3 linked regions of the Danio rerio genome follow. The protein of the gene in region 2 interacts with the protein of the main gene of each other region in a pairwise test. Links are inferred from orthologs where the notes say so. Each region holds a gene or a part of one and is shown on either strand. Other genes may lie near its edges. The genes, in order: keap1b, lsm3 and lsm10.

Region 1 (4,343 bases), on a different chromosome or scaffold from region 2:
TATCATATCTCTCCTGAAGACATGACTGCACACTGCGCTGTACATAAATCAGATCAACATTTTCAGATCAGTCAATAATATTACAGAATAAGTACAGATGTACACACACTAACTCAAGTGAATAGACAGAATCAATGATGAGCTAAACATCTGCAGAATTCTGCGGGCCCGAATCCTCAGTGATCCCGCCGGGCTCAGATCATTTCTCTTTCTCACTACAGTCCATCTGCTCCAGAGTTTTAACTGAACCTCAGTCAGGCGATCTCGGACTGATTGATTTGGTGCAGATCCAAGCACAATTGCTGGATTCACATATGCCAAACGAGCCGCGCTGACTGGACTAACGGGACGGTTCCGAAACAGAAGTGTGGGTGTGAAAGCCCCTTATTGAGGCCTGAACTCTTGTGTTGGTGTGTGAGGGGTGTGAGAGCGGTTATCCTGTGTGCGTCGGCCGCTCTGACCTGGCTGAAGTTCATGTAGATGTACTCTCTGGCCTTCTGGTGGAGCTCCGTGCAGCCGATCTGCTCGGCGAAGCTGGCGATGCCGATGGCGTTACTGGGGTCCAGCTGCTCCACCAGGAAATCACAGCAGGCCTGAACCACGCTGTCGATCTGGTACATCACGGCGCCGTTCATCACGTGGATCACACACTTCTCACCCACTGAGATGCTCGCCGTGTACGCAAACTCAATGAGCCGGCCCATGACCTGGAGACAAGAACACACACGCACACACACACACACACACACACACCGTTTCTGAAGTGGGCACACTGAAAGGCACAGGTCACCTATAATGAACATGTCCTCCTCCTTTCCTCACTCGAGCGCTTCTACAGCTTCATCAGTCTCTGATACTCTGAGGAATGCTGGGAAAGCAGCCGCTGACGTCCACAGCAGGAACAGAAACACTGCTGCAGTCATCAGCTGCTTCCTCCAGGACATCTACCGCTGTGTTCAACAGAAACTCAAACAGGTTTGGAGGAGGAAATGAGGAGAGAGAACAGCTGCTGTCACTGATCACCTGACCACTGAGCTGTGTGTGTGTGTGTGTGTGTGTGTGTGTGTGTGCTGGAGCTCAGGAGAGGAGCTGTACACATTCAAGACCATCACTGTATCATGATGCAACACTCACACAAACACACACACTCACACACTCACACACTCGCACACACACACAGCTGGGAAAACTGCACTACAAATCCAAATTCCCATTTATTATTTTTTCCTAGTGTGTGTGTGTGTGTGTGTGTGTGTGTGTGTGTGTGTGTGTGTGAGTGTGTGTGCTGGTACCTTGGGGTGTATCCCCTCGATGGGCACCACCTCCATGCCGCACTCCTTTAGGCCGTTGGTGAACATGGCGCGGAACACAGGCGAGGACGAGGCCAGCACCACCTTATGCGCCACGAAGTCGACGTGTGTGTCGAGCGGGCAGTAGCGCACGCGGAGTGTGACGTCACACAGCTGTCTCTCGCGCCGCAGCTCGTTCATGATGGCGAAGGCGGCGGCCGTGTGGCTCTCCAGCGTGTAGCTGAAGACGCGGTGCCCATTGCTGGCCGACGGCGTCACCTCCGCCTTACACTCCGTCATGCCCGCCGCCGCCAACATCAGCGCGGGCACATCCTCACTCGCCAGCGCAGCGGTCACGAGAACACACACACACCTGTGTTAGAGACACGCACACATCATACACACACCGCTCATCACCAGCAGGAACACACGCAGAGGAACGCTCACATATCTGTGTTCTCCTGACCAGTGTGAACACACACACACACACACACACGCACACACACGCGCCTGTCAGTCAGTCTGTAGAGGAGGGCAGAGCTGCTGATCTGTGTCTGCACGCGAATCCTGAGGGGGAAACACACACACACACACAGAGAGAGAGATTAGAACAAACACTGAGGATTCACCACTGACTACGATAACACACTCTGCCATGAATGATCAGGAGTATCACACACACTCTCACACACACACACACACACACACACACACACACACACACACACACACACACACACACTCTCTCTTCTGTTGGACTCAGGACTGGTTCATCAGATCTTCGTCAGTGATTTGATCAGAACTAATGAGTTTCAGGAGTTCCTCCTGTCGTTAGCAGGAGTCTATCTTCTGCTTACACACACACATACACACACACTGACTACACACACACTGTCCTGCTGTCAGTGAACCAGAACACACTCTGATCCACACTTAGTGTGTGTGTGTGTGTTTATGAGTGTGTTTTTGTTTGTTTATGAGTGTGTGTACAGGTAAACAGAATCTCACACACTGTTAAAAATGCAGGCTTCCACACAATTCATTCATCTTGACCCAACACAAGTCGATTGAGTTAACTCAACACATTTAACAAATGCGTGTGGATTGAACATAAGAAATTTAAGTTCTCACAAATGAAACCTCAAGAATTGTGTTGTTTCAGCTCATTTTAAATAAGTAGTTTAAAAGAGCAAATATATATGCAGCAGGTGTGTGTGTGTGTGTGTGTGTGTGTGTGTGTGTGTGTGTGTGTGTGTGTGTGTGGTTCCAGCTGTCTGCTAGGTTTATTTTAATGTGTTTCTGTCAATTTGCTGAACTGAAGTGTTTATCTCCGTTTATCCTCCTCACCCCGGCTCTACAGTCATGCTTTAATTTGATTTCCGCTGTTTTCAGCTCTTATAATAACACTAAGAACACAAAGCGCGGTAAATACACATAAACAGCGAGAGGCCTGAGATCCCCGGGCTTGAGTTGAAACGGCACCGGCCCCCGGCAGCGCAGATCCGGCCACACTCAGCAGCGGCGCCGCGCCCGAGCGGGAAACCACAGACCGAGGCTGAGGAAAAGTTCAGCGCTACGCGACCCGCGCTTTAAATTATTGATGGAAACGCGAGCCGACCTCAAATCAAAACACTTTATTCGTGTTATTACCATGTTCTTACCGCGTTATAAGCCTCCATAAACAACACAGTGATCAATCAGGAATAAAGATGAAGATTAATAAAGTTCATCATGAGCTGATCTTCATCAATAAGGAGACAAGCCGCCATCCTCATCCTCACAGCTGTACATCAGAAACTGCATCAACACGAGCCTGTAGATCTGACAAACGCGGCAGTAATGTCGATTAAACACAGTAAACAATGAAAACACACTCACGGGCATCAGCAGCAGCGCACGGACACTCTCTCTCTCTCTCTGTGTGTGTGTGTGTGTGTGTGAGCACTTCTGTGTGTATGTGAGTGTGTGTACTTGTGTGTGTATCATACCCACTGAAAGCAGAAACTCAGCGTGACTAAGCATTAGCTGGCCTGTGTGTGTGTGTGTGTGTGTGTGTGTGTGTGTGTGTGTGTGAGATGCAGTACTGATGTTGGACACGAGGTGTCGCTACAGGTCAATAGAGCGGGCTGCTGCTGGGCTGTGTTTGAGCTGTTCTGCTGTTGGCTGTTCTGGGATCTGTGGTTCAGCTGACTGAACAGCTTCTGTTCTGTTCTGCTCCAGTGTGATCATCAGAGGAGGAGCTGAGCTGAGCTGAAGCTGCACACATCTCATGCCTATACTGGATCCAAAACACGATCAGTAAAACAGTCCGGCTCTCAGTGAGCAGAGCGGAGCGACAGATGGAGGACTACATGCAGAGTTATGTGTGTGTGTGTGTGTGTTCAGCAATTAACATTTTACACTGAAGGACACACACACACACACACACACACACACACACACACACACACACACACACACACACACACACACACACTGCCTCTCCAGTCTGACTTTCATTAATGAGTAAATAAACATTAAAATCTTTGTAGAAGAGCCCAATCTGTGAACAGCTGACCTCTGACCTCTGACGTGCCCGTCTACTGGAGCAGCGACTCACACTCTACTGCACTTCAGTCTGACACTCACGGCAGAGCAACACACACACACACACACACACTGGTCAGGAGAAGCTGAGAGACACACACACACTCTTCACATCTCTATTTTAATATTTCATGAGAAGTTCCAGTTTTGACAGATGACTAAGCTTGTGTGTGTGTGTGTGTGTGTGTGTGTGTGTGTGTGTGGGTAAGAAAGAGAGAGTGTGAGCGATTGAGAGATGCCCGTGGTTTAGGTGTGACGGCTCTGAGGTTGGTTTGAGTGTGTGTGTTTGTTTACGGTAAACAGTGTAAAGGTGAGCTCTGTGGTGTTTCCATGTTTGTTTGTGTGTGTGTGTGCTTGTGTGTGTGTGTGTGTGTGCATGTGTGCAACAGCAGCCCCTCTGCAGACGCACAGCTGAATTTGCAGTCACCCACATGTGTTTGTTGGTTTCCGACACGCACACACACACAC
Region 2 (4,499 bases):
AAAGTCTGTCCTAAATTTAATATAAAAGGTTTCTGCATATTGTTTTATACTTTAGAAATAAAATGATGTCATCTGAGGTTACGAGGGAAAAAGCTGCAGTTTCCACATATATCCAGCAGGGGTCCTTATGCATCTATTCATTTCAGCTTTTACTTCTTGATGCTTTAGGACCCATCCCATGCTTGAATGTCTCAGTAGTCCTTCAGCGTTAGAAGGAATGGTAGGCTATAAAATATTTTCTCAGCTTACACAGTCGATCTACATAACTGAATAGCAACACAGGCACAGGTTACTGCATCTATTTTTTAATATATATATATATATATATATATATATATATATATATATATATATATATATATATATATATATATATATATATATATATATATTTAACTGACTGTCACACATTCTCAGCATTTGCTTTTAGTTGAATTTCAAGTGCAGCAAGCTAAACTTGTTATTTATTTCTTAAAGAAATATTATAATAATTTACTGTCATGTTGTGTGACATGCAAAAGAAAATATTTAGAAAATTTTAATATTCAGAAAGTTTTTGTTTCCAATTTTTATTTGTGCTCTAGACCCAGGCCTTTGCAGAAATGTTAAACTTTTTAAAATTTATAATGGGTTTAAAATTCATTTAAAAAAAATAATCTTAATTTTTTTTCCACTTTTCTCATTTTTTTTCAGTGTGGTCAGTTTGACCTCAAACACCATAAGTTTTTTTTTTCTTTTTTTTTTTTACACATATAAAGCAACCAAATCAAGTCCAGTTGTGACTGTTTTGTTAAAGGTTGGACTGATGTGACCCCAACATTGCCTAATTGATAAAGTTGCAATTTCATATGCAAAATTGCATATAAATAAACACCAAATAGCCTACTCTTGATAACAATGCAATCCAGATGATCAGCCTCACAACTTTCACTATACAACTAAATTGTCTAATTTTCCTTTGCAGGAAATGTGAGATGGGCTTTCCCAGATATGAAAATGCGGAATTTAAAGGAAGCAGGAGGAGATGTGTTTCAAATCTAACAGGGAGGGGGAATAGTACTTCCATACTCACAAACACAAGCTTTTTTCAGGAATGTCTGTGCGATCACTGATCCATCAATGTAGAAAAGGGATGAAAAATTATAATTTTCGTAATTTAAAAAAAATAAATAAATAAATAATTGCACAGTGACATCCGGGAAAACTCCCGATCATAGCCTATGTGTATATCTTTGGCTTTGGATGGTCACAGCTTGCATTCATTTCAAAGGAGCGGTTCCCTGTACTAACATGGTGGATCTATTGACGCATTCCTTCCAATAGACAACAACAGGGTAGGCGACATCTAACGTATATATCTATGTCTAACAGGAAGCAGATGCATTTTCCGTCTAATGATTTGTTCGCGAGAGAAACGGAAAATGCATTCTGGGTAGATTTGAAAGATGGCGGACGACGCTGAGCAGGTTTGCAATTTTTGCTTTGTATAAATATTTCGTTAGCTGTTTGATTATCGCGGAGGTTAATCGTATTAATTGTGTTTATTTTTAACTAGTTGAACACACGGGTAGCCTATGCTAAAGCAGCTTGTAACTACGACGATTGTTTGCATGGACATTTTCATTCAAATAAAATACATCACTGAAATTTACTTTACAGCAACAGACCACCAACACCGTAGAAGAGCCTCTGGATCTGATTCGGCTCAGTCTGGATGAGAGGATCTATGTAAAGATGAGGAATGACAGAGAACTGCGTGGCAGACTGCATGTGAGGGGAATACTACATTACATACTCTAAGTTAGTTATACTGCACGTGAGGGAAATGCCACATAATATACTGCATACGAGGGGAAAATACTACATTAAATACACGTTTCTACTGTACGTTATTGGAAAAAATACAACCTTAAGCATATTATATAACGTTATACTAAACCTGATTCAAAATACTACATTAACCATTATATAATGTTACATAAAGTTAGTTACATTGCACGTGCAAGAAAATACTAAGTTACATTGTGTATATATAAGTTACACTAATTATACTGCACGTGAGGGAACATACTACATTAAACATTATACAGTTATACTGCACGTGAGGGAAAATACTACATTAAACATATTATAGACTCTAGTTAATCTGCATGTGAGGGAAAATGCTGCATTAAACATTATTAAATTGCACTTGAGGTAAAGTACTTTTATAGATATATTGTTAGCCTTCACGTGAGGGAAAATTCTAAATTAAACATTAAATATTATAGTTAGACTGCATGTGCGGGAGAAATACTACTTTAGTATATACTCTAGTTCACTGGTTCCCAACCTTTTTTTGCCTGAGACCCCCTTTTTCCCTGGAAAATATTGTTAGGCCCCCCTCCACATTTAATGATATAATCGCTCATATAAGTTTGCACTAATAATGACAAAAAATATTGTTTCAAACAAAGCAAAGGTAGATCTCCAGGAACAGGATTGGCCACCCCTGCTCTAGTTAGACTGCGCTTGAGAGAAAAAACTAAATTAAACAGATTATACTCTAGTTATCCTGCACCTGAGGCAAACATTAGGCATATTATATTTATCATTATTATATTTATGTTCATTCATTCATTTTCTAGTCGGCTTAGTCCCTTTATTAATCCGGGGTCGCCACAGCGGAATGAACCGCCAACTTATCCAGCAAGTTTTTAGACAGCAGATGCATTTCCAGCCGCAACCCATCTCTGGGAATACTATTTATATATATATATATATATATATATATATATATATATATATATATATATATATATATATATATATATATACTAATTAAACTACAACTGCACATGAGGGAAAATACTTATATAAATATTATATACTCTAGTTATACTGCATGTGAGGGAAAATACTACATTGTAGTTATTATATACTCTATTTATACTGCACATGAGAGAAACTACCACATTGTACATATTATATACTCTAGTTCAGTGGTTCTCAAACTGTGGTACGTGTACCACTAGTGGTACGCAGGCTTCCTTCTAGTGGTACGTGGAGGAATAAAATATGTCATGTACATGCTACACACATTTCAAAATTGATAAAAATGATGTATATAATGTCATATGACATATAGCCTATATTTCTCATGTAATCTGCCACGTTTTTTTAACTGTGCAGAGTTGTAGCTGCTTTACTGGGCCTACAAGGCTATTGTATCTCAATACTGCTCATTTTGGTGGTACTTGGAGAGACAATTTTTTTCTGAGGTGGTACTTGATGAAAAACGTTTGAGAACCACTGCTCTAGTTATTCTGCCCTTGAGGGAAAATACTACATTTTATACAGACTCAAGTTCAATTATGTCTCTAAATGTATTATGTTCTGTTATTAAAGTCACATGAATTTGGTCTGTGGATTTTTTGGAGAAAATAAAGGATAAAAACATGTAAAAGTGAATTGATAAAATCTATTAAAATGTAATAATCAAATGTTTTATCCTAATAATTGACTACACGCATTAGTGTAGTATGTAAAGTGTTTAGTAAAAGAAAGGAAACATACAGAGGATTAAAATAATATTTATATTGTAATTGTATTTAGATCTAAAATACAAGTCTAAACTAATAGTCTACAGCAGTTCTAATGTGTTATTTTAACAGTACGTATGTATATATGAACAGTATATTGAAAAATCTGTTTGATTTTAATAACAAATCACAGAGATAAGGGATCAGAAAAATGTAAATGTTTTGTATTTTACAGAGGTAAATAAACTTATGGATGACCAAAAATGTACTGAATACAACTTCCTTTGTGTGAATTAAACAGCACAACCAAAAAGGATAAATGTTGACATAAATATACTTTTATTATTTTAATATTCATTTCTTTAAATATTTATTTTCTTTTATTTACCATATTTGCATTAACAGGGCTCGAAATTGCGACTATTTTGGTCGCATATGCGCCCGAAATTTTATCTATGCGACCTTAAAATATATTTGGGAGCATTTCTGCGAGAGCTTAAAATTGTTGTGTGCAACCAGTTTGTCTGCTCTTTGTCTGCAAAAATGCAGCGCTCGGGAATGGTTTAAAACAGTTATCATGTCAACTTGTTGCAGTAAACAAATCCAAGTCCGTAATGCTTGCCCTGCCTTTGCGCTCTTCTTATTGGCCCACCACTGCTCTAGCACTGAATGCGAATGATTGGTTAATATCAGCTGTTAATCACTCAGTCGCCTTCTGGCTTCGGACGACAGAGAGGGCTACTACCGCGAAAATTGTAAAGCGCTGAAGATGAGAAAGATAACCCTGACAGATTTTGTTTTAGAAACCATGGCATCTAAAGTTATAAATAATGACACATCATACTAGTGATCATGTGCTGAATGTTAATCCACCATCTACACTTTTCCAAGAGTGGAAGACTTCCATTGGCTTCAAGTCCACTATGAAAAGTCTGTGGGATGTAATTTTCAGGTAACTGTTTGCCACATCTAGCACGA
Region 3 (4,340 bases), on a different chromosome or scaffold from region 2:
CTGGTCTCATTCATTTTCATTCATTTTTAGCAAAACACAACAAGTTATGTTGATAGAATTTGTGACCTGTACTTTTCTTATCATATTGTTTTAATGTATTTGACAGCCAGATGACAAGCAAGAAAGAAAAAATGGTAATAGGTAACACGTAAAAAAGAAAATAAAAAACAGATATAATTTATAAAATTATATATAATATATACAAATTACATTTTGATAAATGGAAAGTTTATTAAAAATCTATAATATTCCATGACGTGGACAAAAAAATAAATAAATAATACTGACTTTAAATGTCTGAAATAGACCTTTTAAATGTCTATGATATTCCAGAAACTCTATTACCTGTGGGAACCCTTAATACAAATGTAAAGAGACCAAATCATAGTTTTTTTATTATATTATATATCTACACTCTGTATTAATTACTGTATATTACTATATACTGGATGGATGGATGGATGGATGGATGGATGGATGGTTGGATGGTTGGATGGATGGATGGATGGATATGCAGATAGATAGATGGATGGATGGATGGATGGATGGATGGATGGATGGATGGATGGATGGATGGATGGATGGATGGATGGATGGATGGATGGATGGATGGATGGATGGATGGATGGATGGATGGATGGATGGATGGATGGATTGATTGATTGATATTTTGTTGTGGTTGTTGTTAATAAAAATTACCTTGGTATTACCAGGATGAGCTGGCCAGCACTGAACTGGCTCGCATAGCGGAAGAGTTTGATGAAGAGGGAAACCAGACGGAGGAACTGGGAAACAAGGGTGATGATTTGCTGGCCATGATGGATGAGCTCTAAAGGTCAGTCGCTATCAACAGTGAGTCAGAAAGCATGTGGCAGGTCTGAAAGGTCACAAAAAATATGCTCTGTTAGAAAATGCCTGACATATTTACTTTCATAAACATTATTAAGAACAAGCTGGAAGGCATATTCAGCTGTCATCGGTTCCCTTCATGGTTTTATTTGCTTCACACTTTATTTGAAGTGTTGTATTAACATTTTTCACTACTTTTTAATGATAAAACATTTAGTTTTAGTTTTTCATAATTTTCAAATAATACATGGTATGTTAAATACAGAAATGTAACGAACCTACATTTCAAACGAAGCTAACGTTATTCTGACAGGACGATGAAATTAAAATGTCGACTACAGCAGTCAACGCGTCTTAAAATAACAGTATATATCAACTCGCCCAACATATAGAAAGCAGCAGCATTTTAGGAGATAACTTACACTGAATTTAAAAACAAAAAGTTTGTAAACTAACCAGTTTCTCCGATTAAATATTGACGTTGTACACGTAATGAGCCACCAGAGGGCGCGCGAACGATTTTAATCCGGTACGTCTTGATGACGTAATTATCAGCTGCGACAAAGCGCGGTGCTCGAAACCATTAGGACGTAAACATGTTTTGAGCATGTAGACAACACCACGGAAGGTAATAAATGTTTTATTCACTCTCTAGTTCAGCAGCTTTTTATGAGTGGCTGTGGTTTTGTTAAAAAATTAAACAGTCATGTTCTCGGTTGAGTTGCAACTCTCGCGTGCTCCATTAAGTCGTAAAGGTTTCCTGTTCAGCTAGTTAGTAGTTAAGTGGATACTGTACACTGGTAAGTCAGCTACTATCCAGTGTGCAATCGTCATTTCTGCTTATTTCGGTATTTAACTTTGGAACCAATGCAGAGTCAGTATAAAATGCACAAAACCTTAACTACACACACATACATTAATAAATAAAGCTGCGGGTTAACTATGTTTATATATATATATATATATATATATATATATATATATATATATATATATATATATATATATATATATATATAAGCTATTGTTAAATTATTAGTAACTAATACAGTACAGTCACTAATATTATCTTTTCTAAATTTGATTGTAATGCAATAATTTGCACCTCTGAAACATTCATTATTGTGAAAAGGGCTGTACAAATAAGCCTGAATTGAATACTAGCCTTGGTATGCATACTATACTTATTGATTTAATGTTTAATATAATATAAAAAATTATCAAACAATTAAATAATAGTTGGCTAAAATTGGCACAAAAATCTTCCTACACATACACAAATAGACATATGAAGACATTAAAAAGTGCAAAAACGTATGGAAACATAATATATTATGTATGTATGTGTATGTTATGTTATTAACGCGGATTAAAATTCATTTAAAGACATTTGACAACATATTTCACATTTCACCTTTGTAAACAAACCTGCTTTGGATATTTTCTATCAATTTCATAAAAGGCGGTGTGCGATGTGTCTGTCAGCGGAGCCGTAAACCTGCAAGCATGCACTTGCCCACAACATTTAAATACAATTATTCAGCTTATGACAGACATTTTTTACATTTATGTGAGGCAACCATTTTCCATATACTTCTTTGAGATTTACAGATATACAGTTCTCAACATAATCGAGTACACCCCATTTTGAAAATGAATATTTTTATCTATTTCTTGGTGAGTATAGGGCATATATTTTGGTGCATTTGAACAAAACAGATTATATATATATATATATATATATATATATATATATATATATATATATATATATATATATTTAATATTTTACTTACAGAACATTTTTAGAAATTTTAGATTCTACATTCAAATTAATGTAAAATATTGAGAAAATAATTACAAACTACTTTTGGACTGTTATCATAAGTTATTTTGTTAGATTAGCTCCAGATTTGGCTTCAGTACTAACTAATACAATACATAAATATAATATTCATAAAGCTTCTTGTAGAAAACATTAATTTAAATGAGAGATCTGTGGGGCTGTACTTGTATATGTTAAGCACTGTATTTGCTGTAAAACATCTGCGGATTTATGCAGAATGATTTTAGGAGTATCATTACAAAAATCTTAATAAATTAAATAAAAATAATACTGTTTTAACTTGTATTTAATGTTTACAGTGCAAATCCAACTAGATCCACTTATTCGGTAAACAAAGTCTCTCATATAATATATCTACTAACAGATGGAACATATTAATTTACATACTGTATTGTACATAAATCATATGATAATTTTCATATTAGTCAATAATACTGAAATTAATTTCAAAATTGAATGCATATACAAAGTAAATAAATAGACTCAACGATGCACTAAAAATCTGCGTCATGCTCCACATGTTGATTCTGTGTGGGTCTAGTCATTACGTAGTATTATAATCAGATATTATATCACACAAAAGAAATCGTCTGATTGTTTATGATTATTTTGTGCACAGATCAACATGGACGTGAGCCATTCGATACGTGAACGCACCATCGCTGAGAACAGTCTGGTGATCCTCCTGCAGGGTCTGCATGGACAGGTGACCACAGTTGACCTGCGAGACGAGAGCACAGCGAGGGGCAGAGTGATAAATGTGGACGCTTTCATGAACATCCGGCTGGAGAATGTCCTATACAGGGACAGACGGGGACGCAAGTCGAGCATGGATGATCTCTTCATTACTGGCAGAAACGTGCGGTACGTCCACATCCCTGACCAGATCAACATTATAGAGACAATAGAGGCGCAGCTCTCCAAAATACACCGCGTGCGAAACTTCGGAGCGGGCGGTGGACGGAAGGAGTACTCAAAGAAAAAGTAGCTGATGCTTGCAGTGTGTTTTTGATGGGAATGCTCGTTGGTGAATAGTTTGTTTATATTAAAATGGTTTCTGGGTCATGTGGGAAAATGACTTGTGTTTATTTTGAGCGTCTCTGGTGGTTTGAGAATTACATAAGCAGATTAGTGAAATGACTATTGACTGATGAGTTATTTAATGTGGCGTTGTTTGTTTAAACTACACGCTTTGCTTTTTCCCATGTCAATATTGCTTAGCCAAAAGTACACGTATATTTAAGGTTATATGCAAATATTGGTACACTGATGCATTTAACACTTTGTTTACAGTGTAATGGGAATGTTTATTTTCAAAATTGGCGCTTTTAAATATTTGTAATGACTTCATGAGATCAAATGAATGACTATTAAATTGGATATCTCATTCATTTTCCTTCAGCTTAGTCTGATTATCAGGGGTTGCCACAGTGGAATGCACTGCCAACTATTCCAGCAGGAAGAGCCCCGTGCTGTTGGGGGGGGGGAGGGTTAGGACGATTCTAAGGACTCACACAGTTTTGGGGCCCCCAGAGACATTATTAGGGGCCCTAATGACCCCACCCCTTCCACTCTTCACTTTGGTCAGCAGCATCCTCCTCCTCACTCTTCACTGTCGTCCGTGCCCTCCCCTTTTCTCATTTGT

Evidence for each region.
Region 1: the proteins of lsm3 (region 2) and keap1b interact in binary tests that used the Homo sapiens proteins (3 or more experiments, as listed by UniProt). The two-hybrid records come from large-scale screens. The link is inferred for Danio rerio from reciprocal best matches to the Homo sapiens genes LSM3 and KEAP1.
Region 3: the proteins of lsm3 (region 2) and lsm10 interact in binary tests that used the Homo sapiens proteins (3 or more experiments, as listed by UniProt). The link is inferred for Danio rerio from reciprocal best matches to the Homo sapiens genes LSM3 and LSM10.

What each region holds. Positions count from the first base shown.
Region 1 is NC_133181.1:203,218-207,560, forward strand, and holds the start of keap1b (kelch-like ECH-associated protein 1B), read right to left. Parts: upstream 2,968-4,343; 5' UTR 2,951-2,967; intron 1,857-2,950; 5' UTR 1,608-1,856; coding exon 1,293-1,607; intron 708-1,292; coding exon 462-707; intron 1-461. UniProt on the Homo sapiens protein: Substrate-specific adapter of a BCR (BTB-CUL3-RBX1) E3 ubiquitin ligase complex that regulates the response to oxidative stress by targeting NFE2L2/NRF2 for ubiquitination.
Region 2 is NC_133197.1:33,572,118-33,576,616, reverse strand, and holds the start of lsm3 (U6 snRNA-associated Sm-like protein LSm3), read left to right. Parts: upstream 1-1,382; 5' UTR 1,383-1,445; coding exon 1,446-1,466; intron 1,467-1,659; coding exon 1,660-1,770; intron 1,771-4,499. UniProt on the Homo sapiens protein: Plays a role in pre-mRNA splicing as component of the U4/U6-U5 tri-snRNP complex that is involved in spliceosome assembly, and as component of the precatalytic spliceosome (spliceosome B complex).
Region 3 is NC_133194.1:4,215,074-4,219,413, forward strand, and holds lsm10 (U7 snRNA-associated Sm-like protein LSm10), read left to right. Parts: upstream 1-1,404; 5' UTR 1,405-1,477; intron 1,478-2,277; exon of another isoform or gene 2,278-2,360; intron 2,361-3,314; 5' UTR 3,315-3,320; coding exon 3,321-3,683; 3' UTR 3,684-3,760; downstream 3,761-4,340. Other genes in the region: protein OSCP1a, read left to right, coding at 714-833. UniProt on the Homo sapiens protein: Appears to function in the U7 snRNP complex that is involved in histone 3'-end processing. Increases U7 snRNA levels but not histone 3'-end pre-mRNA processing activity, when overexpressed. Required for cell cycle progression from G1 to S phases.